Oryzias latipes: one gene and its partners. The protein of the gene in region 1 binds, or shares a complex with, the protein of each later gene. Links are inferred from orthologs where the notes say so. Each region holds a gene or a part of one and is shown in the gene's direction. Other genes may lie near its edges.

What was found.
Region 2: med13l (region 1) and med4 share a complex: the UniProt entries of both Homo sapiens proteins name them as parts of the mediator complex. The link is inferred for Oryzias latipes from reciprocal best matches to the Homo sapiens genes MED13L and MED4.
Region 3: med13l (region 1) and mediator of RNA polymerase II transcription subunit 26 share a complex: the UniProt entries of both Homo sapiens proteins name them as parts of the mediator complex. The link is inferred for Oryzias latipes from reciprocal best matches to the Homo sapiens genes MED13L and MED26.
Region 4: med13l (region 1) and med23 share a complex: the UniProt entries of both Homo sapiens proteins name them as parts of the mediator complex. The link is inferred for Oryzias latipes from reciprocal best matches to the Homo sapiens genes MED13L and MED23.
Region 5: med13l (region 1) and med8 share a complex: the UniProt entries of both Homo sapiens proteins name them as parts of the mediator complex. The link is inferred for Oryzias latipes from reciprocal best matches to the Homo sapiens genes MED13L and MED8.
Region 6: med13l (region 1) and med24 share a complex: the UniProt entries of both Homo sapiens proteins name them as parts of the mediator complex. The link is inferred for Oryzias latipes from reciprocal best matches to the Homo sapiens genes MED13L and MED24.
Region 7: med13l (region 1) and med31 share a complex: the UniProt entries of both Homo sapiens proteins name them as parts of the mediator complex. The link is inferred for Oryzias latipes from reciprocal best matches to the Homo sapiens genes MED13L and MED31.

What each region holds. Positions count from the first base shown.
Region 1 is NC_019870.2:12,442,803-12,446,917, forward strand, and holds the start of med13l (mediator of RNA polymerase II transcription subunit 13-like), read left to right. Parts: upstream 1-1,315; 5' UTR 1,316-2,522; coding exon 2,523-2,594; intron 2,595-4,115. UniProt on the Homo sapiens protein: Component of the Mediator complex, a coactivator involved in the regulated transcription of nearly all RNA polymerase II-dependent genes.
Region 2 is NC_019879.2:14,006,626-14,010,612, reverse strand, and holds the start of med4 (mediator of RNA polymerase II transcription subunit 4), read left to right. Parts: upstream 1-1,187; 5' UTR 1,188-1,227; coding exon 1,228-1,301; intron 1,302-1,551; coding exon 1,552-1,618; intron 1,619-2,059; coding exon 2,060-2,230; intron 2,231-3,237; coding exon 3,238-3,295; intron 3,296-3,987. UniProt on the Homo sapiens protein: Component of the Mediator complex, a coactivator involved in the regulated transcription of nearly all RNA polymerase II-dependent genes.
Region 3 is NC_019875.2:6,560,887-6,563,049, forward strand, and holds part of mediator of RNA polymerase II transcription subunit 26, read left to right. Parts: intron 1-455; coding exon 456-530; intron 531-614; coding exon 615-2,163. UniProt on the Homo sapiens protein: Component of the Mediator complex, a coactivator involved in the regulated transcription of nearly all RNA polymerase II-dependent genes.
Region 4 is NC_019882.2:15,915,325-15,918,824, reverse strand, and holds part of med23 (mediator of RNA polymerase II transcription subunit 23), read left to right. Parts: intron 1-436; coding exon 437-549; intron 550-627; coding exon 628-723; intron 724-1,249; coding exon 1,250-1,267; intron 1,268-3,500. UniProt on the Homo sapiens protein: Required for transcriptional activation subsequent to the assembly of the pre-initiation complex. Component of the Mediator complex, a coactivator involved in the regulated transcription of nearly all RNA polymerase II-dependent genes.
Region 5 is NC_019862.2:24,740,789-24,745,068, forward strand, and holds med8 (mediator of RNA polymerase II transcription subunit 8), read left to right. Parts: upstream 1-1,480; 5' UTR 1,481-1,573; coding exon 1,574-1,579; intron 1,580-1,711; coding exon 1,712-1,833; intron 1,834-2,861; coding exon 2,862-3,006; intron 3,007-3,089; coding exon 3,090-3,230; intron 3,231-3,308; coding exon 3,309-3,396; intron 3,397-3,467; coding exon 3,468-3,707; intron 3,708-3,783; coding exon 3,784-3,854; 3' UTR 3,855-4,028; downstream 4,029-4,280. UniProt on the Homo sapiens protein: Component of the Mediator complex, a coactivator involved in the regulated transcription of nearly all RNA polymerase II-dependent genes.
Region 6 is NC_019877.2:9,579,827-9,584,095, forward strand, and holds the start of med24 (mediator of RNA polymerase II transcription subunit 24), read left to right. Parts: upstream 1-1,469; 5' UTR 1,470-1,589; intron 1,590-1,595; exon of another isoform or gene 1,596-1,715; intron 1,716-1,853; 5' UTR 1,854-1,854; coding exon 1,855-1,984; intron 1,985-2,069; coding exon 2,070-2,152; intron 2,153-2,279; coding exon 2,280-2,318; intron 2,319-2,401; coding exon 2,402-2,475; intron 2,476-2,794; coding exon 2,795-3,018; intron 3,019-3,160; coding exon 3,161-3,272; intron 3,273-3,367; coding exon 3,368-3,518; intron 3,519-4,269. UniProt on the Homo sapiens protein: Component of the Mediator complex, a coactivator involved in the regulated transcription of nearly all RNA polymerase II-dependent genes.
Region 7 is NC_019872.2:23,702,500-23,706,779, forward strand, and holds the start of med31 (mediator of RNA polymerase II transcription subunit 31), read left to right. Parts: upstream 1-1,480; 5' UTR 1,481-1,663; coding exon 1,664-1,673; intron 1,674-3,288; coding exon 3,289-3,363; intron 3,364-4,280. UniProt on the Homo sapiens protein: Component of the Mediator complex, a coactivator involved in the regulated transcription of nearly all RNA polymerase II-dependent genes.

The sequences.
Region 1 (4,115 bases):
GGTTACATACATGTGGAGTGAATGGATGCTGCACCCACAGTCAAGACTTACTGCAAAGCAAACACTTGCACAGTGTTCCAACATTCACAATGTCAATGAGAAGTATATATTTTAACGCTCTTAAAGCATATTAAGATATGTATTTGGGTCATTTTCGAATTGGAGGGCATTTTATGTCGCAACCATCACATTATGAAATGTTCTGCATACAAAATACAAAAAAAAACAAAAACAAAAAAAAAACCCTGCAGTTAATAAAAAGGACTTATACTGGAACAAAATCTACAAAAACTACAAGAAAAGAATTCCTACAATTGTTTAAAAAATACCAAATAAGCATTGAGTGCCCCTAAAAAAATGCGATTTTATTCCTTGTCCCACCCCCTCTATGTCCAAATTTAAATCTTCAACAAAACAGTTATCAAAGGAACAAGTGTCCCACAATGTACATGCAACCCTTTACCATAACCTTTTTAACATGGTAGAAGAAGAATTACTTATTTACAAGAGTAAGTTCGTCCTCTTGGTGATCAATAACAGCTAGTTAAACAACTGGCTTGCACTCCTGAGAGATAGCTAAAATAACATTTTCGACCCTGTTACCTGCAAAAACATTTGGAAAATGTTGTAAACAACAAATATATAATTTAATAAAAAAATGTACAATTGATCAGTAAGTTTAGCTATTCAAGCATTTGACAGTTTAATACTTATTGATAGATATGCAGCAGAAGATCAGAAAAGTGAAGGTTTACTTTTCAGGAATTTTGAAGCCCAAATGTCCTCCAATTCTGGAAGGACCCATATATGTATACCTTTATAATAGGCCTTTATGTAATAGTAAATAGTAATGTAATAGTATTAAAAAAAGAATCAATCGTCTTAACAAAATAAGCAGTAACAACACAGGCCTTAATTATTGGTATTTTCCATAAAAAAACAACTTCACATGTTTTTGTTTTTCTTAAAGCTGCATCAAAGAAACCTGAATTGTAAAAGCCAGATTCAGGTCACGTGATGACAAAGTTGGCCAACTGGGAAAAGCGATTCTGAGCTTCAGACCTCCATTACATCACAATGCGCGATGGTTTTGCGGCAGAAAACAAGACGCTTTGGAGCTTCGAGTAAAAACAAGCCCACTCTCTCTCTCTCTCTCTCTCTCTCTCTCTCTCTCTCTCTCTCTCTCTCTCTCTCTCTCTCTCTCTCTCTCTCTCTCTCTCTCACACACACACACACACACATGTGCGCACACGCACGCACGCACAGGGTGACACATTCGGGCTGCGCACGCCCATCTCAGTGTAATAACGCCGCTGCGAGACATAAACAATGAGGAAGGAGCAGTCGCGGTGGAGGAAATCATGCACATGTCTGAGGATTTAAATCAACAATCAATTCATTTCTCTTGAAGAAAGCGGATTCATTGGGGGGAATCGAACGCACGCCACATATTCTTTCCTGTCAATAAATTCGGCGCCAGACGAGGAGGGCCACTTTTTTTGTGTGTGCTGCTTCGAGTGTACATTTTTTTGTAGAAATAGTACTGGATGTTTTTGAGCAAGACTGAGGCTTTTGTGGCCGCGCGAGGACGTTTCGTAATGATAGAAAACTGAAAGGAAGGAAGGATTTTTTTCTCTAACCTCCGTCTACAGTCGCCTGCCGTTTTCCTGCTGTTGGAGTGTTTTACTTTTTTCTTGCCTGAGCGGTTTGACTCATGGTTCTGAGCTCGACTTTGTCCCCCCCCCCCCCTCCCCTCTCTCATTCTACAGCCTGCCCGATCGTTTGATTGAAAAGCAACAGAGGGATTAAAACCTTCGTTCGTGCTCGCAGCGCCTGTTTTGTGTGAGCCTGGCTGGGTTACATTGTGAGAGGAACGGTTGTGGCAAGAAAGAAGGCTATAAATAGCGCATGCAATTCTCGAAAACTATCACAAGTGGTGCATCAGCTTGTTGGAGCAGACGGAATCAGATATCCTGCATGTGATATCTGCGCGTTTATTATTTCTCCGCGCCGTCGATCATGCGCATGCGGTTCGTCTAAAGAACAAAGTTGATGCGTAATTTTGCATTTTTCTGTTCCTGGGCGCAGAAGACGGCACTCGATCTCTGATGGATTATGGTGATTTAATTACGAAACTATCCGCGGACAGACTGCTCTGGAAAGGGTCTGGTCTTTTGTGTGTGGATTGAAGAAATGGAGCTGCTCTCCGTCAGCGATCAGATGTGGAATCGCCCGGACCGGATTGTAATGTTGTGATCCCCGCACATGCTTGGATTTATTGCGTTCAGGCTACAAGAAAGCTCGGGCTTCATTGGATGCATTCTGCACTTCTTTCTGAATACGCCCATTCCTCCACCGACCATCCCGTACAGCCTGTTATCCGGGACCTCCTTGTGAGGGTTTAAGCCTGCTGGTTTCGGCAGACTCACAAGGGGAACCGATTCGTCACCCCCTGCTCGGTGCTAGCAACCGATGTAGGATTTCGACATGCCATGCGCTGACGACCCCAAAGGCGGACGATTATGACTGCATCGGCGAATTGGGTGGCTAACGGGGCAAGCCTTGAGGACTGCCACTCCAACATCTTCTCTCTGGTACGATAAATCCTGTTCATCACACACACACACAGGCAGGCAGGCAGTTGTGATCGACAAAGTCATAAGACCGTGGGAGGCACGCTTCAGTGTGTCTGTGCGCAAAAGTGAACCAAACGCTGATGTTATTTGACAATCATTAACAAAAGATCTCCAGTAAGGCTGTTATGATGGCACACTCCACATACCTAACCAGCAGGAACTCTTCTTATGGTATTATTTTACGCATTTATTGCCAACAATTGGAAAAACGAAGCTGTCTTTCTCAAATATATTTCTATTGAAATATTTCCTAATAATAGTTTTATGTGTGAAAAGAATTCCATGACCTCAGGAACACTGAGGAAACAAACATGTCACACAACAAAGATGGCTTTTGGCAATCAAGCATATCACTTTCATTTAATATATATGTAAAAAATGGGTTGGTTTTTTTTTTTGACTGAGTGCAGTGTCATGCTTTCTTGTGCACAACTCTGGTTTTTGAGGGCGGAGGAGAAAAGAGCAGAGTGTTTTCACAGTTTTCATCCTGTAGTCAGCGAGTTAACTGTCTTACCACAACAGGCAGTCAAGTGGAAAGGCATGCAGTGGACTGGGCTCAGGCTGCTGAGAACCACAACAACATAGGGGTCCTGGGGGCTTTTCAGGTGAGGTGCAGGTTGAGGAGCAATAACAGTCCCTATTACATTAAACAAATCACTGCAAGGGTACACAAAACATGTTACTAAAGGAGGTTTGAACGAATGATCACAAAGAGAGTGAGGAAATATTTCCTTTTTTTACAGCACTGTGTAAAAAGCAGGGAGTGTGTGGGACTTAAAGCTACCCCATTAACTTTTTAAAAGCATCTTGTGTGACTTTCTACGCATTCATGGGGAGATGCATCCCAATATAAGCAGTCTTAAATCTTCTCAGCTTGACACAATAGAAAACAACGATTGCATTTCTGTCACCGTCTCATTCGTGGCTATTCCCTTGTGGGGAAAAAAAAAGCTCTCATTCACTCACTGTGGCTTTATTGGCCATCGTGAACATCCCTTTCAAACTGAGGGTGAACGAAACCATCCATCAGCCGGCTTGTTGAGAATATTTATGACTGGCGAGTGCCTCAGCAGTTACTCACTGGCAGGGTTCCTGCAGGGGAGTCCTGGATGGGACAAAACACTAATGACACACCAAGTGTCCTGGTTAGAGGCTACAGTGACAAATGTAGGGATGGAAAAATGTATCGTTGGGTTTACAGTGAAGGAATGTGCAGGGAAAGGTTAGAGGTGCAAGTTAGGATTCTGCAACACAGCAACAGATTTTTAGCAAAGTTGCAGTTGTTGGGTATATATTTGTAAGTTGTCCATGTGTTGCATTCATCCCTTAACCCTGTTTTCACTTATTAGACTAACAAATGGGTTGCGTGTCCAGATATGGGAAATTCTAAGACTTGAATTACAGGTTTTTACGTTTATCCTGTTTAAAACTTGCAGTTTTAAATTCATCTAGCTGCACAAAGCTACTTTCTAGGGATAC
Region 2 (3,987 bases), on another chromosome or scaffold:
GTGACTTCTTTCTGAATCACCTTATTTTCAGACCAGCCTTGTCTTTGTGAACATTAGGTTTCAAATGAGAAACAACTACACAGATATGCTGACCTGAAGATTATTCACAACCACAAAAACAGAAGTATTTTTTTAAAAAACGTTTTAAATTAAAAAAAAAAAACAGTAATGAAGCCTCTAAAATTTTTAAAAGCTTTCACTTGGATATTTTGGGGGAAATGTTCATTCTTGAAGACAAACATATATGGTTCAAATTCCTATGAAGTCAGTATGCAGTTTTCAGATGCAATGGCAAAAATGCATTTCATTTCCATCTTTGAATCCCTCTTATTTTGACAATCAGGAAGTGGCCTGGTTGCAAAAAAGCTTCACTATTATCTCACTGTTGGCAGCCTCAACAAAACAAACTTGCTTTGGATGTGTGTGTTCATGCTGAGTCAAAGTCAGAGAAACTTAGACTACCAAATAGTTCCTTAGCACAGCTATAGTGCACTGCTACCCAGGGGATGGGTCAATGCACACAAATAATGAGATTTTATCCTGAATTTAACATTAACACTTTGACCCATAACAAAATAATAATAAAATAAATAAAAAATCAGGAAGTCAGAGTAATCTTAGTATTAATAAACATTGTTGCAATATGTTGCCTAGTTTTGTCTTTGCTTTTTGTATTGTATCAGAACAACTTTTATCATGGAAAATACATTCTTAAAAAAATGTATGCAAAGAGATAAATAGGCAAATAAACGTACTACATATTTAGTTCAAGAGAAAAAGTTGCTTTTAAATCGTTTACGTAAATTACTAATTACTAAAATATTGTAATAATTCCTTTTTTTTACCCTGTAGACATTTTACATCCTTTATGCACTAAAATAACTGCAGCTTGTCCAGTATTTTTAAAATAGTAATCATTGTTTAGATCATTTTGCAAAAACTTTAGAACACAGACTGAAATAACTTTTGCAAAATTTGGCTGTTTTCATCAACATTTTACATCTGTTTATTTAGTAATTTAAGTAAAACAATTTACAAAAAATATTATTACTTTTCTATGAATTATTATTATCCGTGGTTCCAAAAATAATTTAAGATTTTCCTCCTTGGAATAGGCAAAACGTACTTTTTAGCATGATATTCCTTTTGCCACCACTAGGTGACAGTAACTTACAATTTGAGGTAAAGTCTTTATTACGTCATATCCTTTCTGCTTTAGAAACAGGTATGGCGGCGGCAGCAGAGAAGTCAACAAAAGAGCGGCTACTTTCTGTGTTGGATGATTTGGAGGTGTTATCGCGGTAAAGGAAACAGCTCATATTTTGTTTTCCGTGTTGTAGTTAGGTAGCGACACAGTAGGCGGGTTTACGGCTTGGTCTGCACAGTCCTGATTCGAGTCCAGAAGTCCAGTGGAGAGTAAAGGCTCATGAGGCTTAGTTCACGCTTTGAAATTAAAGCCCCCCCCCCGGGGGGGCTTTAAATGGCCTCCGTTGTGCCGCGTACTCCACAGCTCCTCGTGCTGAATCCTCCATGTCTGCTCTTCTGTTTCAGGGAGCTGATCGAGATGCTGGCTCTGGCCAGAAACCAGAAAGTTCCTCAGCCAGGAGAGGACACACAGGTGAAGGACACAACTTTTTTATTCTAGTTCAACACTCCAAAAGAGCCACTCCAAAGAAAATTGTGTTTTTAAAATGTTCTTGTGGCATTTTAAAGATGGTAAAAGACATTTACAAAAAAAAGTATGCTTAAATTGTATTTCTGATTATTTCTTTAGTTAAATAGTTGTCATCAGGAGCAGATCATCTAAAAACATGAAAACAACAGGCTTGGCCTCAGCCATCAGGGCGGCCTCTCTCTTGATATTCCAGCATTTATTTGGATATGGCCATGTTTAAAAAAAATGAAGAAAAAAAACATTTCATGTTTTGGGTTTGAGCTGTGCAGCACTGTCACCTCTAGCCATTTGAAATGATGCTGGTCTCCATGGAAGCAAAGGCCACAGTCGACGTCTGATCAGTGCTGCTTCTTGTGTTTATTGGAGAGCCTGTTTTGTCTTCAGATCCTGGAGCTTCTGGTGCAGAGGGACAAGGAATTCCAAGAGCTGATGGAGGTGGCCCAGCAGCAGGGAAAGATTCATCAGGAGATGCAACTGTTGGAAAAGGAAGTGGAGAAGAGAGACAGTGACATCCAGCAGCTGCAGAAACAGCTGAAGGAGGCAGAGCACATCCTGGTGGGTTGAGGTTGTGTGTATTTTTGCTTCATCTGATACTGCTGTAAGGTGATGTAGTTACATTCACAGGTGCATTAGCAGAAATCCTCATTCTTCTAGCACATAGGCAGATTAAGCCAGTCTAATGCATTCTCCATATAGGCTGCTGTAAGCAGATCTATGGCTGTGCTGGCTTTAGCATTTGTTGAGTAAAAGTATAAAAACTCTAAAAGGCTAAATATCTTTTGCTGTAAAAAATTAACTCAATGTGTTGTAAATCTGGCAGTTTACTACAACTGTAAAAAAAAAAAAAAAAACCTGTGACAAATAATTTTTTTTGTAACATATATGTTGAGAGCTAAGTCAATTAAATAATATAGTTCAAAGTAATCTAAAGATTGCTTAGTCATCTGGGTCATTACAAATTTCACCACTGTCTGAAAGTGTAACAGTTTAAAGCAGTGCTTTTCAAATAGTGGGGTGCGCCCCCCCGATGCGATGCCGGGGGGGGGGGCGCGCTATAGTGGCGGTTTTAGGCACAGGTTATACAGACAATTGTCCGGTGCTCATATTTAACGTGGGGGCGGTGATGACAGCGGCTCAGTGCTTGGGGAAAAAATCTGCGCCTCTATTCGGTTCCTATTGTCTGTAAAATCACAGAGTTTGTGACAACCTGAAACCTGTGAATTCCTGTCCCTGTAGCTGCGCGCTCCCGTCTCCTGTCACACGCGGCTGCGTGTGTGAGAACGAAAGGGGAGGGGTAGTGGGCTCAGTCTGCCAGGTGAAACGGGGCACGCGGAGAACTGCAAGCCCTGTTGCCCAACACTAGGATCATCCCATGCCTTTTGAGGACTCAGCTAATGCTAATAATGTCATTCTTTATCAACTATTGTAGACATTTTGATGATGCTTCTTTTCCAGCACCTAAAACAGAAAGGTGTAGGAATGACGGGGTCACTGGATCCAGATCTAAGATCACACTTGGAAAGCAGCTTCTGTCAATCTAAACTGACTTTTTCTCCTTCAAGGCCACTGCAGTTTACCAGGCCAAGGAGAAACTTGCTTCCATTGAAAAGGCTAAGAAAGGTGAGCAAACACACTTGTCTTTCAGTCTGTGGATTTGGATGTATCATTTTGTGTCTGGTAACATCCAGATACTCAAGCAGCTGTGTGACTTCAGCGTTGACACTCAAAGATTTTAGTTTAAGGTTTTCGTTAAAGAATTCATTCCTTCTTCCATTTTAGGTAGCATCTTCATCTCTGCCAAAAAAAATAATTACTCTCTTGTGCCATCTTTTTGTATCGACTCAAGATTTGGCATAAAAAAACATTGGTTCTCATTAAATGACCTATATCATGCAAAATCAATTTTATTTTTAGCTTTTTATGTATTATATTTGTTAATTCCTCTTGAAAAACGACCCCAGAAGAGTATTTTGATCCTTTAATGCATTTCTGAGTTTTCCTCTAAAAACCTGCTCTCTGAGCACCAGCCCCTCCCAATCCCCAAAAACAGGCGGGTTTTCATATTGCAACAAAAATGAGCTGCTAAGAAAACCGGTATTTCATTTAAAAATTGATGGGGCGGCAGGTGCTTATGCAGGTGCTTAGGCAGTTTAGCAGATCGTCCAATGGTCGAAGAGTCGGCGGTTTGATCCCTGGTCCCACCACTCAACTGTCGTTGTGTCCTTGGGCAAGACACTTCACCCTCCTTGCCTCCAGTGCAGCTCCACTGCTGTGTGAATGTGTATGAATGTCCTGGTGATGGTCAGAGGGAC
Region 3 (2,163 bases), on another chromosome or scaffold:
CTCCAATGTAGAAAGGGAAGACTGTCTTCTGTTTGACAGGGATTCTTAGAGGGGTTCAGGTCGGAGCACAGACTGCAGAGTGGTGGATTAAGATGTCTCTTATGTGGGTCTCCATGGAGAGGCCGGATTGAAGGCAAGCCGGATCCTGCCCACGACCCTGATTTAGACAATTTGACTGAACTCACCTGGTTATCACAGGTGTCTGAGATGGATGTCAGTGATCCACACCATAATCCATGAGTTTGATTTGAAAAATTCATCTTTTTGACTCTTAAATACAAAACAATTGCATAATAATTTGGAACACACTGTATAAATGTGAGGTAATGAATCCCAAGAGAAGCATACCAATTTGTTATATCTGCATTTGGTGTCAATCTTTATTGAATGTTGTTCAACAGTGTGGATGCCAGCATTGTCTTTGAACTCATGAAACAACTGTCTGTTTTTTGCAGATTTGCAACATGGTGATTGTGTTGGAAGTAATTAACTGTCTGGAGAAATATCCTATCACCAAAGAAGCACTTGAGGTAAAGCGTGCATTCCTAAACAGATACTCCATACTGAAAGGAAAATACTGACTTTCTTCTCTGATTTTCTCACATATTTTACAGGAAACGCGACTTGGAAAACTGATCAATGATATTAGAAAGAAGACCAAGGATGAAGATCTTGCAAAGCGCGCAAAGAAACTGTTGAAAAACTGGCAAAAACTGATTGAACCTGGGCCAGTTGTGGCACCCAGTGTCACTGGGTCGACAAATGGCAGTTCTCATCTGTGCCGAACCGACCCCTCTCCTCCAGAGATTTCTGTGTTGGGGAAAGGATTTGCTGATGTTAGGATGAGAAATTATGTTCAGAACACGTATTCACCTAAAGCTGAAAAATCAAGCAAGCGCAAGGTAGAGCACAGCAGACTGCACTTAACAGAAAACCTCTCAAAGACGTCTACATATGATAATTCTGTCTCCCCACTACCCACCAATGGGATTGCTGGCAGCCCAAGAACCCAGTTTGAACAAGATGTCACAGTGTCTCCTGGTAAATGCCGAGTAGATCACCTTGATGACGACAGAGTGAACAGAACTTCAGTCAATTCTGTCAGGCCTTGTCCCAACTCCCCTGGGGTGGAAAAACTACCCAGCACTTCCTCTTTGGTTAAAGTTGCAGTAATCCAGCAACATGCCAGGCTGGAGGAAGAAGGAGGGAGCTACAATCAAGGCAAGAGTCCTCGCAGTGTCACTTCCAGTCCGCGGAGCCAGAAGCATGACTCCTTACCAAAGCGCTCCGTACCATATGGACTGAAAGGAACGCCAATCCCAAGTCCTTCTTCCAGAGACTCTCCCTTATCCTTTTCCCAGGCTTTGGCTTCTCCGGGTCAACCATCTTTTGCTGAGAAGCTGCCCCATTTATCTCATAAGCCTTTGTCACACACAACCAGTTTGTATGAACCCCAGGATGTATCTGGAACTCTGGATTCACCATCAGCCTCCCCTCTCCTCTGTCAACAGAATACAGAATCCCAGAGATCAAGATTGGAAGCGGGCTTTGTGGTGTCTGATGATACTGATAGAATGACAGCAGCCAACTCTGAGCATAAAAGGAGGAAGTACAAGTCCAGAGACTTCTCTATTAACCTGGATGGGCAGAAAGTGGAAGACACAACTAAGAGAGTACGGTTAAAAGAACGCAGACTAACGTTTGACCCAGTCACAGGTCAGATCAAACCTCTGGTGCATAAAGATCCTTCTCCAGTAGAGGTGTCCTCTACTCCTGATCCAGCAGAGTTTAGGCAGAGAACAGAAAGTTCTGTCCAGCAGTCGGCTGCCACAACAACAAGTCCTTGCCCTAACCCTTTCCTCCAGACTAACTGGAAAGAGCTGTCTAGAAACGAAATCATTCAGTCTTACTTGAACCTTCAGAGCAATTTGCTCACCTCTTCAGGGGTTCAGACCCCCAGTGCACACTTTTTTATGTCAGAATATCTCAAAAGGGAAGAACAGGAGACCAAAGAGTCCAAGAAAATGCACGTTTTGCAGACAGACAGCTCAAAGGGGGATTTACCAGGCATGAGTCGGCAGTTGACGGACAAGGACTTGGAGAGGATCCACACACAACAGTGGCCAGGAGTAAATGGTTGTTATGACACCAATGGCACCTGGT
Region 4 (3,500 bases), on another chromosome or scaffold:
GATCGAAATAGATCTGGGATTTATACAAAACAGTTAAAATCATGGAAGAAACATCATATAGTACAGATTTTAATGATATATGTTCGTAATCTGCTGTCCCTAGGAAGGTTAAATGACAAACATCAGATTCACACTAAAATATATATATTTTTTAATCAGTTTCCTGCAGGGTTTTCCAAGAAAAGAAAACTTTTATTTAATAAAAAAATAAAAATAACACTATATTGGCATTTTAAAATGTTTTTTAGTGTAAATTTCTTTTATAAATTGTTGTTTTCTTAATTATTCAACTTTTTCCACATATCCTTGTAAATATTGGAAGTTTAATGTTAATGGAATTTGAAATCAGTCCCAGAATCGTAAAACTAAATGTTTGAAAGCGTAATTGAAGCTAAGTGACTTGTATTTGGTGTCGTCGTCCCCCCCCCCCCTTAAGGACGATGCAGTTTGCTGCCAGTTGTGAATAACAGCGGGGCCATCTGTAACTCCTGGAAGTTAGACCCCGCCACCCTGCGTTTCCCCCTCAGGGGCATGCTGCCCTATGACAAGGTAACCCACCCCGCATCTGCACAGCTTCACGCCCACACAGGAACAAACGGTAATGGCTGCTTTGGTCGTTGGGTGCAGGACCTGTTCGAGCCGCAGACTGTCTTGCTCCGCTATGTGCTTGAACAGCCGTACTCCAGGGAAATGGTGTGCAACATGTTAGGACTCAACAAACAGGTAAAAAACAGAATGAAAACCTTCCTTATATGCTTCCTCTGGCACTTTTCTATGTTTTATACCACCTTTTTTCTTCTTGACCTCACAGCCCCTTTTGGTTTATTTTTGGACTATGAAAACTTTTCTTCCTCAGTTTTTTTGTGTAGTTTTTTTGTCTGTTTTGTTATCCCTCTTAAGCCCATCACCACTTGGATTCCCTTGTAGTCTTTGTTACACAGTTAAACAACGCTGTGAGCTTGACCCATAATGCACCTGAATTCCCTGTTGGGCTTCCCTGTTGTATCTTAAAGGTTTGGAATAAACTAAAACCGATTATAAAAAAAAAATGTTAATAGAAAAGAATGACTGGTCTGCTGCTAACTGTGCTCAACAAATAAAAAAAAAACAACGTACTATGGCTGCTTAGTCACTACTTTCTTTCTTTCTTTCTCTCCTTTTTCCCACCTCTCTCTTTTTGTTTTTTCCTCTTATTTGGTTTCTCTCCGTTGGTTGTGTTGTGTTTGTCTCTCTGCCACGCGCTCGCTAGACTCTGAACATTGCCCAGGTATGTCGTTGTTCCTCCTCCCGGTCACATGACTCGCCAACTAACCAGCTGACTGGACACTGAGAGACTTACTGGCCCCGCTACTTCGCTAAAAAGTTGAAAACTGAAAAAAAAAAACAATCATCTCAAATAAAACGTGGAGCAAATGAGAAATGCTACAGAGCTTGAGATGGTCACAGCAGGGCGACAGAGATAACTCACCTGTTTAAATGGAAACTCGCCTTTAATTAGGTTGATGTGTATATTGCAGGAAACAGCAGGTGGATCGATGACCTGTCGGGAAGTTTCCACAGCATTAGGCATGATAGGTCGTTCGATTACTAAAACGCTGTACAAATAAATAATTTCCTGCCATATGTTCAGCCTCATTAGTGTCCAAACCCCTTTAATTCTGCTGAATGGTGGCAGCATCTGTAAGTGTATTGATTAAAACATTCAATGATGTCTGAAAGACTGGAGTTCCCGGTTAATCATTCGGATAAGATTTGTTGCCCCATTTTGTTAAATGTGTTCACCGTTAATGGGATTTTTTTAAATAAATAAAGCTGATCCTGAATGGTTTCCGTGTTGTAGCCACCAGGACAGAAATTCTCCAGTAGTCTGGGACTGATTGATGCCAGCCGAGCTGATAGAGATCGATCACGGCACAGCTGGGCTGTGTGCTCTCCGGGCTTCATGGTTCCTGCTTACAAGCTGACATGAAGTATTTCTGACTGCTAGCCCTGCTGTTGACATTTCAGGTCCTGCTGCAGTGCATGTGTGGATGTAGTCTGGTGCTTGCTTGTCGTCGGGAAGGCTTTCCCCATGTCAGAGCTGCTGCTGATGCTGTCACTGCTGCTGCTGCTTCCCCCCCCCCCCAAAAAAAAAAAAAAACCCACACCTGCTTACATACGTCATGCGTCTGAAAAGTGAATTCTAACTTAAGTAGCCAGAAGATGCTTTAAAGATGCATGCAGAACTGAACAGAACATCTATAAGTTAGTTGTTTTGTTTTGTAAAGTGATAAATTGGACTTAGTTGGATCTAAACTTGGATGAGCAGCTGCACCATCGTCATAATAAATCTGTGTCCTCTTGTGCAAACCATTGACTGTATGTGAGAGTTGACTCCTCCCCCTCATGTTATAAACAGGAAGCTAAAACCCTGGAAACGTCTACAGAGAAATAAACAGCTGTTACTCAGTCATTCTGTTTGTTAGAACAACCTTTCTTGCTTTTTTTTAACATGTTCTTTCTAATCTTATTGTTTCATTTCATGGAATGTTTCTTTAGTGCAGCTTATTCAAATTATAAACTGACCAATCAGATGCCTCAATAGAAGTAGGTGGTCTCGCGTCTGAAACGCTAGATTGACAGGTGTCAGGTAACCCGCCATTAGTGGTTGCGGTTTCCAGCAAGCTCACCCCTGATTGGCAAGACAGGTTGCCATAGAAACGTTGACTCCGACCAATACTCTCATCATCTGGTTCCAACATTGCGGCGTCCATATTGTGAAAAAAAGGCGCCTGAATTGACTTAATTTTGTTCTCGGTCCAATTCTCATTAACAGTCAATGGTGCCAACTCCTGTAATATTGTTATAGAGAAAGTAAAGTTGGGTTGTTGTTGTTTACTGTCTTGTTGACTATCTTTGTGTTGTCTCTGCTGGCTGTCAAACAGACGGGTGGTGTTTAACTCACAGCTTTGGTGAAGCTGCTAAAACCCCATCCTCTCATCCCAGGAGATCTTTTGTGGTGCAAACACTTTGGTGTTATCCGGCATGTAATTACGCAAGCTTTTCATGCGTGGTTGGTTAACAAATGTTGTTACAGTCTGATGGTTTTAACTGCTTTTATTATAATAAACATAGAAATGGAGCAAAAATCAAATGTGTCTGCTTAGGATTAGAGGAAAATCCACGTTGGGCAGAATCAATCTGCTTCTTACTCTGGTCTCAATACGGATATTTGAGCTTTGCATATCTGATGAATGTTTATCTGATATCTTTGGAAGAGAAAAAGGAATAGTGAGGTTTCTAACTTCCTGCATTTGCCAGTAGCTTTCAAAGTTCTGCTGCAAAAAGCTGATTTGGGCTTTCCCATGTTCCTCGGTGCTCGTACTGATGGGGTATATGGTCAAGGAGCTCTGGAAACTCAGATCTGGAGTCAGTAGATTGATCAAATGTGTTGGTTCCGTTATCTAACACCAGACCTAGTTCATAAAGGATTATCGGCTCCCTCACTAGAACCGTTTTTT
Region 5 (4,280 bases), on another chromosome or scaffold:
ATTAACACTCCACAGTCTCTGGTAAGGTCTCACCTGAACTCTGTTCTTCGTCTGCAGAGACATTTCTCGAGCTCATCGTGTGGCTGCAAGTCTGGAGGCGGGGACCTGCTTCATCAACAATTACAACATCAGCCCAGTGGAGGTGCCATTTGGAGGGTATAAGATGTCAGGTGGGGTCTTGTAAAAAAAACAAAAAAAAACAAGAGGCTTCTTGAGGAAAAATGGTGAAACCGAGTTCTTGATCTGTGCAGGCTTTGGCAGAGAGAACGGCCAGGTGACCATCGAGTACTACTCCCAGCTGAAGACGGTGGTGGTGGAAACAGGCGATGTGGAAAACTACTTCTAGAGTTTCCGTTTTACACTCATTTCAGAGCAATAAACGAAACTGTGCAGACCTGTTGAATGTGGATGTCCTATTTGAACTTTTCTGGAGTGTCTTTTATTAACTCTTAAGTGTGTATGAACAGCTGGCATGATTCTTCAGGCTAATTTATTTTGTCACGTTGGACATTTGCTCATGCAAACATTATCTGAACTCTGATCCTGAAGTAAAAATAGCAGTTGCATATAGAGTTTACACTGCTAGAAACATTGATCCATCTTCTAAACCACCTTTATTCATGTATATAAAAAAAAAGTATGCTGGGTGTCCTAGAGCCCACCCAGCTACTGAAAGGCAAAGGTGGGATACACCCTGGGCAGTTCACCAGACCACTGCTGGGTCAAATGGTGTTAGGATTCAGTCTAAGAGACACTTTTGAGGTCTTAGGTCAGAGAGCTCTTCTCCAAGGTTGCACCAAACAATCAGGTCTCTGTTTTTATAAGGCTTGTATTTTAGTCTGATGCCTGGACCGGTGAATGTTAATAATAAAGCCGAACTAAATAGATAATGTTGATGACTCATAAACTTGAAAAGAACTGATTTTGTAATGGTTGGCCAAGATTCTGGGACATTTGGAGCTTCCACTAAAGATAACCAGAACAATATACAGCTTGTTACAGAAGACCCATGATCACACACAGAAACAAAAACACTAAACATATCATTTGTTTTTAATAAATACCAGGAAGACTAAATTGTTTCTGCTCTGAGCTTTTATCTCTGTCTCCCTGTAAGCTGCACCTTCTCTGTGCTTCCTTCACAACTGTCTGCAGGACTCATCCTCTGATTCTGCTCTCAGCTCTTCAATTTCACTTTGGTTGCTGCAATTTCTCATTTTTTTTTAGTCAACACCATCGTTGATTCTCTATTTTAAAAAAGTCAGTATAGACTGGATTAATGACTCTGACGGGACAGTTCTAGTACATTATTTTGGCCTGGAACAGAGAATTTGGACGAAAGAAAACAATATTAAAGGGTGCAAAACCCTCAGAAACAAATATTTATTGAACAATAAATAAAAAAAGAAAAGAAAAAAACAAGAGGATGGGTGGTATGGGTACCTGCTGTAGCCACAAGGGAGCACAAACACACCGTCAGATTTGACCAGAGAAGAAGAAGCATCTCTTTTTTTTGGAAAGCGCAAAGCGGAAGTACAACCTAGAAGACTTCCGGGTCGCTGACAGATCAACAATGCAAGTGAGTCTGAAATAATTTCACTCGGTTGTCTGTGATTCTTCTGACCTACTGTGGACGATACTTTGGACTGATGCTAGCTCGGGCGCTGTGTAATCTGTCCGGGCCTCTCTGCTCGTCCTTTTTGTGTTTCAGCAGCGGGAGGAGAAGCAGCTGGAGACGGCGGTGGAGTCTCTCATCTCCCGGGTGGCTCACGTTAAAAACGCCCTGAGCAGCTTCATCTACAAGCTGGAGAATGAGTACGAACGTCTGACATGGTGGGTCCTCCTGCCCTTATGACGTAACGTATCCCCCCTCCTTTGATTATGATAAATAAAAGCCTGGAAACATGCGAAGTTAACAAGTGAGTGCATATCGTGCGTGTGCATGTGTGCGCGAGCGCACTTAGACTATAAATCTTTGTTGATCCCACAAAAGGGGAAATTACCTTGTTGTTGCCATAGCTCCAATAAAACATCAGATATATATTAATAACACTAAAAATACACTTAAACAATTAACAGCAATCATTTTTGTCCAATGTCTATAAGGCATTGCAGAGTCTAATAGCTGACGGGAAGAAAGATCTGGGAAAGTGCTCCTTCCTGCAACAAGGTGTAAAGGAGCTGCTCAGTACACCCATACAAAGGATGATGATGATGATGAAGAAGAGGAGTGTCCATGATGGAGTTCAGTTTCTGTAACATTTTACTCTCACCCACCACAGTTACCGATTCTAGGAGACATCCCAGAACGTAGCCGGATCTCCGCTCCAGTTTGTTGATCCTCTTCTTGTTCCTGTTTGTGCATTCACACCTCCAGCAGCTCAAACCATAGAAGAGGGCAGACGCAACAATGCCATCATTAAAAAGAGTCCTGAAAACTCAGGAGAACCCCAGTCTCCTCAGTATCTCCTGCGATCTGGGATTGCTTCTCCAGCGGCATGTTGTTGTTGCCAAGCAACAACAGCTGACCGTGTAGACGATGTACCCACAGACCGCTTCAGACCCAGAAAGTGGGGGATAAATAGTCCAAAGGACTAGCAGGCACGCCACTGCACTTGTGTAAAAAACAACAATTCTGTCAAAAAACAGAATAATAATTAGAGAAAAAAAAAAACGAAACTAAAGAAAAACAAGCAAGCCAACACAGATCTATGGTAACTGCCAGCTTGTTGTAGCATTGGTGTCTGTATTTGCGTGCGTGTATTTGTACGTGTGCATGCGTCTTTTAGAAAGTGTTTGTGTCTCCATGTTTACCTGCAAAAGTTTTCTCACCCCCCTCTCAAATCTTTCCTGTCCCTCAGGCCATCTGTTTTGGACAACTTTGCTCTCCTCTCGGGTCAGCTGAACACCATCAACAAGCTGCTGAGGAACGAGAAGACCCCAGCTTTCCGGAGTCAGGTCATCATCCCGCTGCTCCTGTCTCCTGACCGGGATGAGGATTTAGCTGTGAGTGTCGCCGCAACATTTGCAGGCTGTCCTGTGTGGTGAAAGACCTCTAACTATCCTGTCCACCCCCACACCCCCCTCAGAAACTCACAGAGCAACGCGTCCCGGTGTTCAGTCACGAGATTGTGCCAGATCACTTGAGGACCAAGCCTGACCCCGAGGTGGAAGAGCAGGAGAAGCAGCTGAGTGCAGAGGCGGTCAGGATTGGTCCTGAGTTGGCTCAGGTCAGGAGGCGCATGGATGTTTGTTATCTGTTGTCTGTGCTCAGAAGGTGTTTAGTGTTTGTCTGTGCTAATCCACAGAAGCATATCCAGGCTCTGAACAAGCTGTGTTCCAACCTTCTGGAGAAGCTGAACAACCCTCGAGAGGACAGAGAGGGAGATGCTTCTGGTGGGTCGCTCGTTTGTGTAAATCCCTTGTTGTCCTTATTGTAGAAAGAGCTGAGTGTGTTTATCTTCCAGCAGTGCGGCAGAACAAAGCGTCCTTCAACCCCACAGACACCAGTGCCTTGGTAGCAGCTGTGGCTTTTGGGAAGGGACTCTCCAAGTGTAGACCTCCTGGCCCTGTGGCCCCTGGCCACCCAGGGCAGGGGCCCATGATGAGCGGAGGTCCAACGTTACAGCAGGTCACTATTGGTGGCGGGTCAAACCAGCAAGCAGGTATGGGAGGGCCTGGGGCCCCCCAGCAGCAAGGTCAGCCAGGTAGGAAACTGTACTGGTAAAATGTATTAAGTTTTTTGTATTGGAGACACATTTTTATTTCTTTATTTTTGTCCAGGAAAAATGCCAAGCAGCATCAAGACAAACATCAAGTCTGCATCGGGTTCCATTCACCCTTACAACCGGTGATCTCCCCCGCCCGCCTCTTTACTGCTCAGATGCAGGAACATCAGTCTGTTACTGGGTCCACCTTCACGTCCCCCTTTGAAGCTCTCTATACAGCCACTAGGTGGCAGCATGGGATCCTTTATGGCTAAATCTTAACAGCACAATGACATGTTTTCAATAAAACCCAGAAAAGCAGCTTGGTTTGTGTGGCCTTTATTATACAAGTGTCTTTCTCTTGTTTCTGCACTGAAACGACGTGAAAAAACCTGAGCTCCGCTCTTCTGAGTCTGTGTTGCAGCGCTGAGCCTGATGGGGGTGGACGTTGTGTCACAACTTTTAAGGGAGAACGCGAGGAACTATTGCTGTTGACAATGGTGGTGGTGGGGGTTTTATTCCTGTCTGAGTGTTGGCCCTCTGTCTGCTCTGATCCTGTCTGGCTGTATGACC
Region 6 (4,269 bases), on another chromosome or scaffold:
GACTGATACTGATCTACTCTGAGTCTTATCTAAATGGGCATCCTTGGGGGACAGGATGAGATCTTTCTCATTTCCTGGATCTCAACTCTTGGTAATCATCTTTGTGTGCCTAAAGGCTGTCGGTGAATTTGAGAGAAAAAAGAATAAGAAAAACAGAAAAGCCTAACTAGAACTCACTTTTTAGTCTTTTAGAGGAACACCAACCAAATTTGGTCTCTGTTTTCTACTTTTTCTTTTTTACTTCTATTTGAAGTTTGTTGGAATAAATTGACTAAAGCTAAGAATTTTAATATAGTCGTCTTTTGTGTGCTTTCACTTGTTCAAAAATAAACAATACTGTTAATATTAATAACATTATTTATAGTAAATGTGAAATACTTTGTATTATAAATGTTTATTATGTTGTAGTTCTGCAGCTTTAACTGAGAAAGTAACTTGAAAGTGAAACAGACGTTATGTAATGAACCACAATGATGATACAATAATATTGTAAGATGGGGGATCACTTTTGAATAACAATAACAAGTAACATAATAAAGGTTGGAAGTGAGAAAAGCCAGAATCAGCACATGTCCTAATCTCTGAAATGAAGCCGTGAGAAAAGACACAGAGCTGCAGCCACAGTCCCTCTGATCACCCCTGTGGCAGATGGAGAGCTGTCACCACGCCTCCTCAACAGAGCCCTCAGTGTAAGGTAAAGGAGAAAAGATCATTCTCTCCAGACACACCTCCACACAAACACGCAACTTCATCAGTCCTCTAACACTTGTCCACCTAATATGCACTGATCATCTCTTTCGGTCTTACATAACTCTTGTCCCAGGACACAGACCTCACTCTAGTCAGTACATCATCTCCAGTAACAAGCAGAAAGAAGCTCTTTGTTGGCCCTGACTAATACAAGATTGGTCTGATGGAGATTGATGCAGAGAAAGGGTTCATTTTATTTTTGCAAAACAAATTTTTGTGCACACAAAAAAAAACAAAAATCGAACAAAGAACAAAAGCTCAGAAGCTTTTTTTTATTTTAGATTTTTAAATTAAAAGTGCACTGTGGGTTCCATAAATGTAAATTATTACTACATCATATTGTTATTTACTTATTCCTGTCTTCTCACTGTAAACGACTGGCCCGGGACCAGAGACGCTAATTTAAAATGACAATAAAGATTCCTGATTCCTTATTATTCTAATTTAATCATTGTGTTCATTTTGAAAATATATTTTTCATTATTCTTGCTATTGGGTAGTGATTTTCCAACTTTTTAAAAAAGAAAGAAAAAAGCTGAAATAAGCTTTTTTTTTTTTACTGCAAACTACATTTTAGAGTCCCATTCAATTTCGGATCTACTTCATAAGTTCTGTGGTTAACAGCGACATCTTGTGGTAGTAGACAGATTCTGCAGTCGAAGGTTGAGGCTTAAAAGCGAAAAACATCATTATCCAATCATCGAAAAGAATACTGGTGGAGTGTCGGGAGTAGCCAATGAGCGGCGGTGTTTTTCACAACAGCAATGGGGGTATCCTGCATTGTGGAGCTGTGAAACTAAAAAACAACCACATCTTGCGCTTTAACAAAACGAGAGCAGGTAGATATGAATTAAGTCAATAATGAAACTTTGAGAGGTATGTTCTGGCCTTTTCCGGGGACGATTCTGAGTTTGTTCGCGAAACAAGAGACGTTTAGTTTTTTTCTGTTAGCTAATATTGAGAAGGTATGCTAACAGCGAATCTAACAGCTGCATTGACTTGACCCAGTGTTTATATGTTAAAACGTGTGGCAATTTTGCTATTTTTTTGACATAAGTGAGTTAGCTATTCTCTAACAGATACGTGTGTTCGCTCCTTTCCAGCATGAAGGTGGTTAATTTGAAGCAGGCTATCCTGCAGGCGTGGAAAGAAAGGTGGACAGACTACCAATGGGCTGTCAACATCAAGAAAAACTTTCCAAAGGGAGCAACATGGGACTACCTTAACCTCGCAGGTTGTTGATTGTGATAAACAACGTCGGCGTTTCATCCTATAACATGTATGCATTTAATTTTCATTATTTTCTTTGTGTTTTCCAGAAGCTTTGATGGAGCAGGCAATGATTGGTCCATCCCCTAACCCACTCATCTTATCCTACCTTAAATATGCTATAAGTTCACAGGTTGGAAAGGAACTTTTATTTTGAAAACTGAACACACACATATATATACACATAAATGTGTATATACATAAATGTGTGTATATATATATATTTTTAAATAATGACTGTTAATGTTTCACTTTTCTAGATGGTGTCCTATGCTAGTGTGCTCACAGCCATCAGCAAGGTGTGTTTGATCATAAAAAGGACAGAAGATTCGCATTTAAATGGATCTCTGCTGCATTTGTAACCAATGTGTTTTGTTTATAGTTTGACGATTTCTCGCGGGACCTCTGTGTGAAGTCATTGCTGGACATAATAGACATGTTCTGCTGTCGCCTAAGGTCTGAATACTTCTGAGTAAACACCACTATTCTCTCCTTGTGACTTTCTCTTGTACATTTTTGTTATTTTATTTATTTATTTTTTGGACAGCAAATTTGTCAGGGTTTTAAATCTTCAATCTGCCTCACTTTAACTTGGAATTTTCAACAATTTTTATTGATATGTTTTTTTTTTAATTAAATCTTAACTGATTTACTTGTGTGCCAAGCCTTGTCTTATTGTTATTTCCCCAATACTTCACTTGCATATTGTATTTTATCTTATATTTGTACTATAGCTTTAATTGTTAATACTGTACATTGTTGTCTTCTCACTCAGCTGCCATGGCAAAGCAGAGGAATGCATTGGGTTGTGTCGGGCTTTGCTTGGGGTGGTGGTCTGGCTGCTGCAGGCCTGTGCGTGGTACTGCGAGAACCTGAGAGAGCTCGGACCGGTACCCAGCATAGAGGCTATTCTCAGAACATGTCAGGAGAGGCTTCATACCCTGATGAAAAGCACCAAGAACAGAGCTCTGGTTCATATCGCCCGATTAGAAGATCAAGGTTTGGGAATAAAATATTGAAAGACAATATTGAAATATGAATGTTATGGAAGAGAATGTAGGCATTTGTGCACACAAAGGTTATGGTCTTTGTTTGCATGTTCACCATTTGTAAGGTTTGATGTGAAATTCCTCTTCCAAAGGGTCCTGGAACAATGTGGAGCAAGCAGTGATTAAAGTTACGGAAGGTCTTGGAAATGTACCAAACCAAACATTAAGGACTTCACTGGAAGAAAGTTTGTTTTTAGTAAAAAGGTGAAGGTTCCTCAGCCACTAAGCTCTTACTCAAAAGTGTTTTAAAACATTAAAAAAAGTTAATTTTTCTTGGGATGACTCTTGACTCTCCCCAGTATTCCCAGCATGCTCTCTGTGCAGTGTGAGCTTCCAGTGCGTGCCTCCTTCCCATCAGTTCATGCCTTCATCATGCTGGAGGCAACCATGAATTTAATCGGAGAGATCCAGCCTTTGGTGGAGCAGTTAATGATGATCAAGAGAATGCAGGTGAGCTTGAAATTCATGACAAAATATTTCTATAATTTCTGTGATCTTCAGCCCTAAGTCAGAAATAGTCATATTCTTTTTGCAAATATTTTGCAGGTGAATTACCGGTAGTTTGAACATTGCAATTATGACTATGTAAAATATGTTAATTTGTAAAACTGTATTAAGAATTTACACATTTTTGCTCCTTCATGTTGACATAATCAGACCCTCTGAGCCTGAAGAGAACCATTTTTTCTTAATTTACTGTGCAATTACATTAAATTACATTCATATTTAGCTTTTTTAGCTTTGCTTTATACTGAAGTTTTTTATTTGTAATGAATAATTTACCTGCAAATGAAAGTGTCATCTCTCTATCTATCTAACTATCTATCTATCTATCTATCTATCTATCTATCTATCTATCTATCTATCTATCTATCTATCTATCTATCTCTTTATCTCTCTATCTATGACATAACAGAAAGAAGGTTCATGGTTAAATCATGTACGCTGAGCAAAACAATTATGTAACAAACATATTTGGGGTAAAAGTATTTTAAGCCATTTTTCTTCTAATTTTACCTCACAGTAGCATATTGAGAAAATTTCTCTTTGCAAATTAAAATAATTTGATTACATGAAAATTTAATTTAACCGTTGTTTCACAGTAATGGAACTTGTGTACAAAATGTTAAAAAATATTTATTTGCAACAACACATATCCATGAAAGATTTGCAATAAACTTTACATTAATGACATAATAAA
Region 7 (4,280 bases), on another chromosome or scaffold:
TTTAACATTCAGTAAATGAAGTTTGGGTCAGAGTCTCTCTGTGTTACCTAAGAGAAACGTGGAGAAGCAGGTTTTTTAGACGTCTTGTGTTGCAGTGGTTTGAATCTGAAAACGGCAGATCTATTGAGGTTTTTGCTGATCTCTACAAAGGTTTTTAGTTTTTATATAAACCAATATAAGTAACAAAGGTGTGCCTGTTTGTGTGTGTGTGTGTGTGTGTGTGTGTGTGTTTGTGTATGCACGTATGTGTGTGTTGTGTACATATGTATCTTCCTGTTTTTTACAAACCTGTTGCTAACTCCTTTTACTTGTTGATAATAAAACTTTATCACTCAAACATGTAAAGAGTGTTATTTTATGGTCCACATTCAAATCCTTTAGGTCAGGGGTGCTCATTATGTCGATCACGAAGGATGGAACTGTAGATTGCAGGTCATCAAAAATAAGAAATAAATATCAAAATATATTTTTTAAAAATCTGTCAGTGAATCATCATCCTCGGCAGGAAAGATGTCACTTGATTGACATGCAGAACAGCCAATTGAACGTCCTCTGAAGCATACGTCACTGTGTTTAACTACAGCGAGTGCACTTTCTTATTTCTTTCTTCCTGCTGCACACAAATACATCAAACTCAAGGCCCCAACTGACAGTGTGTTCAGTGAATGTCTCAGGCAACGGAGAGGGATGCAGTGCTAGAGGACAAATCCTCATGGGAGGACAAACCGGACCATAACTGAAGCTGCTGATATCAAGAAGTGCTACCAATGGCTAGAAAGGGCTGGCCTACAGGACAGCACTGAAGCACTCATCCTGGCAGCCCAGGAACAAACCCTGAACACCAGAGCAATGGAGGCTCAGATCTACCACACCAGACAAGACCCAAGGTGTAGGCTGTGCAAAGAGGCGCCTGAAACAATCCAGCACATAACTGCAGGGTGTAAGATGCTGGCAGGAAAAGCACAGCCTAGTAAGATTGTGGAGCGCCACAATCACACATGGGCCACAATCATACATACATACATGGAGCGCCACAATCATTCATACAGCAATCATACGGCCAGATGCTGAACTACAAGATCAGAAATCCTATGAATCAAGTGTGAAACATTTTGATTACCTAAAGTTTTTGCATATTCTCATATTTTTCAGTGTTCAGAGAAAAACATTAACATCAGACTGGATGAAAAATAACAAAACATTTTCCGTTTACTGCTTTTTGATCATTTAATTTCTGTGTTTTTCCAATAAATAACAAAGACTCAAATAAACATGGACGTTTTTTATTCACTGTTCAAATTATTTCTGTTTCATGATGACATTTAATGTTTATTTCTTCAGACTTCAAACACTATATAACCAAAAGTATGATTAACAAGTATTTTTTATTTGTGTTGGGTATTTTCTGTCTCAGTTTTTGTTGTCCGTGTGCTGAACAACAAAGTTTTGTTGCAAAAGAAAAAAAGCCGTAAAGTAGATAGCAGGTGTCGCAAAGTCGGAAGTGGTTTTGCCCGAGTAGTTCACTTACGGCTGATGAAAGCTAAACAAAAGCAGCTGGACTGAAGATTTGTTAAACATTTAAACACATATAAGGATTTTCTGCTCTTTCTGGAAGCCCTGCTCAGTTTGTGGACAGTAAATAGTTACTGTTCGGGTCGATACCATGGAAACAGGTTTGTAGCTAAACCTATTTTTGTTAGCTTTGGTTCTTCTAAGTCTAACTATATGGGAGGATGATGAATGTCTTCATTATTCTTGTGTTTTTATTTGACATTTGAGAAACTGTGTATTTCTAACTTTTGTAAAAGACTTAAAGCTGTGTTGATGCTTTTATTAACCTGAGTTCGTGCGTACAACAAGCCGAAAATTTTTCGTAAATAATAAATTAATAATGTCGGCGATTAACGCGGGGATTTTTTCGCTGTAGTCCGTAAAATAAGTAATATGACATTTATGAGAAAGTTTAAAAAGATAGAATATGAAGCTCGTCCATCTTGACACATTTTTCATAAAGAAGCCAAAGTAAACCCCGACATACTAGTACAGGTCGCTTGAGCAGGAATAAGTAAGATCTTCAGACTGCATATAATTCATAATTTCAAAAACGTTGGGCTAATTTTAGCAAACTGCTAACTCTCTTTAACCAATAAATAAACCAAAGACCGACATAAGGACAACACACTAGTTCACGTGGGTTTAATAAAGCTCTATCAGGTTTGAATAACTTTGTAAATGTGAGATTTTATCAGACATACTACCTTAACTACCCCATTAACTCAATGATTCACCGGGGACAGTGGTCTCCAGCTCCATATCGGTACCACTCTTCCTTTTTTCTGTTAATCAGGTGTTTATGAAGGTTTTATTTTGAAAAACGACGTCCACTGCTCCACATCTGTCTGTGACGCTTGATGTTTGCCTCAGTCAGGCATTTTACCCACCTTCAGCTGCTAACGCACATTACTACAACGCTAAATAAAAACCCTCATTCTATTGAATATTACACAAACAAGCGTCAGGCCCTCTTAAAGGTTTCTCTGGGCAGAAAGCACCGTCAGTGAGGAAAAGGAAGAGATAGACACAACCGGGACACAGGGGTCAACGAATCAGTCACTGGGGGGTTTGGTTGGCCATCAAAGGACTCCAGCGAGGAGGATGTAAATCTCTAGCTCAGCACCAGTTGGACAGAACTGAAGAAACTGCTCGGGTGAGAGGCGAAACGTCTTCAAACCAGAAACTTTGTCCAGTTGAATACTTTTGGAACTTTTCATTTTATCATGACCTGAATGACTGAGATTCCACCCCAACATGGAACCAGGAGTTCTACTCAAAACATAGATTTCTGGTGACAGTTGTTCCCGCACTCACTGTGCGGTGACTGACCCTCTAAGGTTTTCAGGACACTGCTAGTAAAATTGTGTACTGGTTGAACTCACATTTACTTTAGTCAGACGTTTTTGTCGGTCGCATCTTTTTGTTTGGTTGTATTTAGTAGCCGAACCTCAGAGGCTCGTTTGTGAAAATGTAGTCTGACAATAAACCAGTTCTTGCGTCGCGCTTATATAGTTTCTAACTTATCACCCAGTCCACTGGTCTAACACAGGAAATGTGTTTGGGGAAATAAAACTCATTTACAGTGTTAGCATAACACACGAATCATGGAAATATCAGAGCAGCAAAAAAATAATAATAATAATAACTGCAGCAGGTCGTCAGGCCCAAACTGCTTATTGTTTCAGAATTCGCAGTGTTTTTTACTTTTGTGTGATGCTGTCTTTTCTGGTCCAGATGAGCAGGCCCGGCACCGCTTCCAGGCCGAGCTGGAGTTTGTGCAGTGTTTGGCAAATCCGTACTACCTGAACTGTAAGTCTCTTCATCTTTTCTTTAACATTTGTTCTTTAACTTCCCTGAAAAGTGAAGCCAGAAACTACATTCCTTAACTGGAAGTTCGTTTGGTTGGAGGCTTGAAATCCTTCAATAATCTGAAGCCCTGCAAGGCCTCAACACGAATATTCCATGAAAACCTGTTTTTATGACTGCCCAATGAAAAGAAGGAACAAAAAGCTCTGAAAAGCCAAAAATATTACTCCAATTTTCATGTTTTTCCATATTATGTATCACATTAAAGATCAGATTCACCTATTTTACTCATTTAGTTTTTTTTTTTTTTTTTTCCTGACCTTTCTTCATTAAAGACAGAAATGTGTTTGTTTAAACTGATAAATATCCTCACTTCTGTATGTTGCTCAGTGTTGGGGTAATGGATTACAAAGTAACAAATTACTGTAATTTAATTACTTTTGTCAGTAACGGTAGAACATAACAAATTACAGCTCATATTCTGTAATGAATTACAGTTACTGGACTATAGAAACCCTTGTTACTTTGTTACTTAGATTTTGCAGGCTTTGACTTTTTCTCTGTTAATTGAAATGAAACAGAGACTAATTATAAAAAAAGACGGAATTACTGGCACATAGCAGCATGGGGGATCGGTCAAAGTACAGACATCCCCTCATTGCTGCAGTCGCTTTGCTTTCCAAACTGGCTCAAAGATGAAAAAGACAAAAAGAGATCCTGCAAGGAGTCTTGTTATCCCTGAGGAGCAGCAGGTGAGCAGCAGAGCAGAGACTCGTGTACTGATGTGTCAGTAGCAAGTGAAACAACCTTAAAGTCGGCTCTTTGGTGTGAAAGACACGACCCGGATCCTTCCTGGGAGTTGTTTTTTTTTTTAAAGTATTAATTCAGCCTTTCTTACTTTATTGTTAACTGTAAGCTAC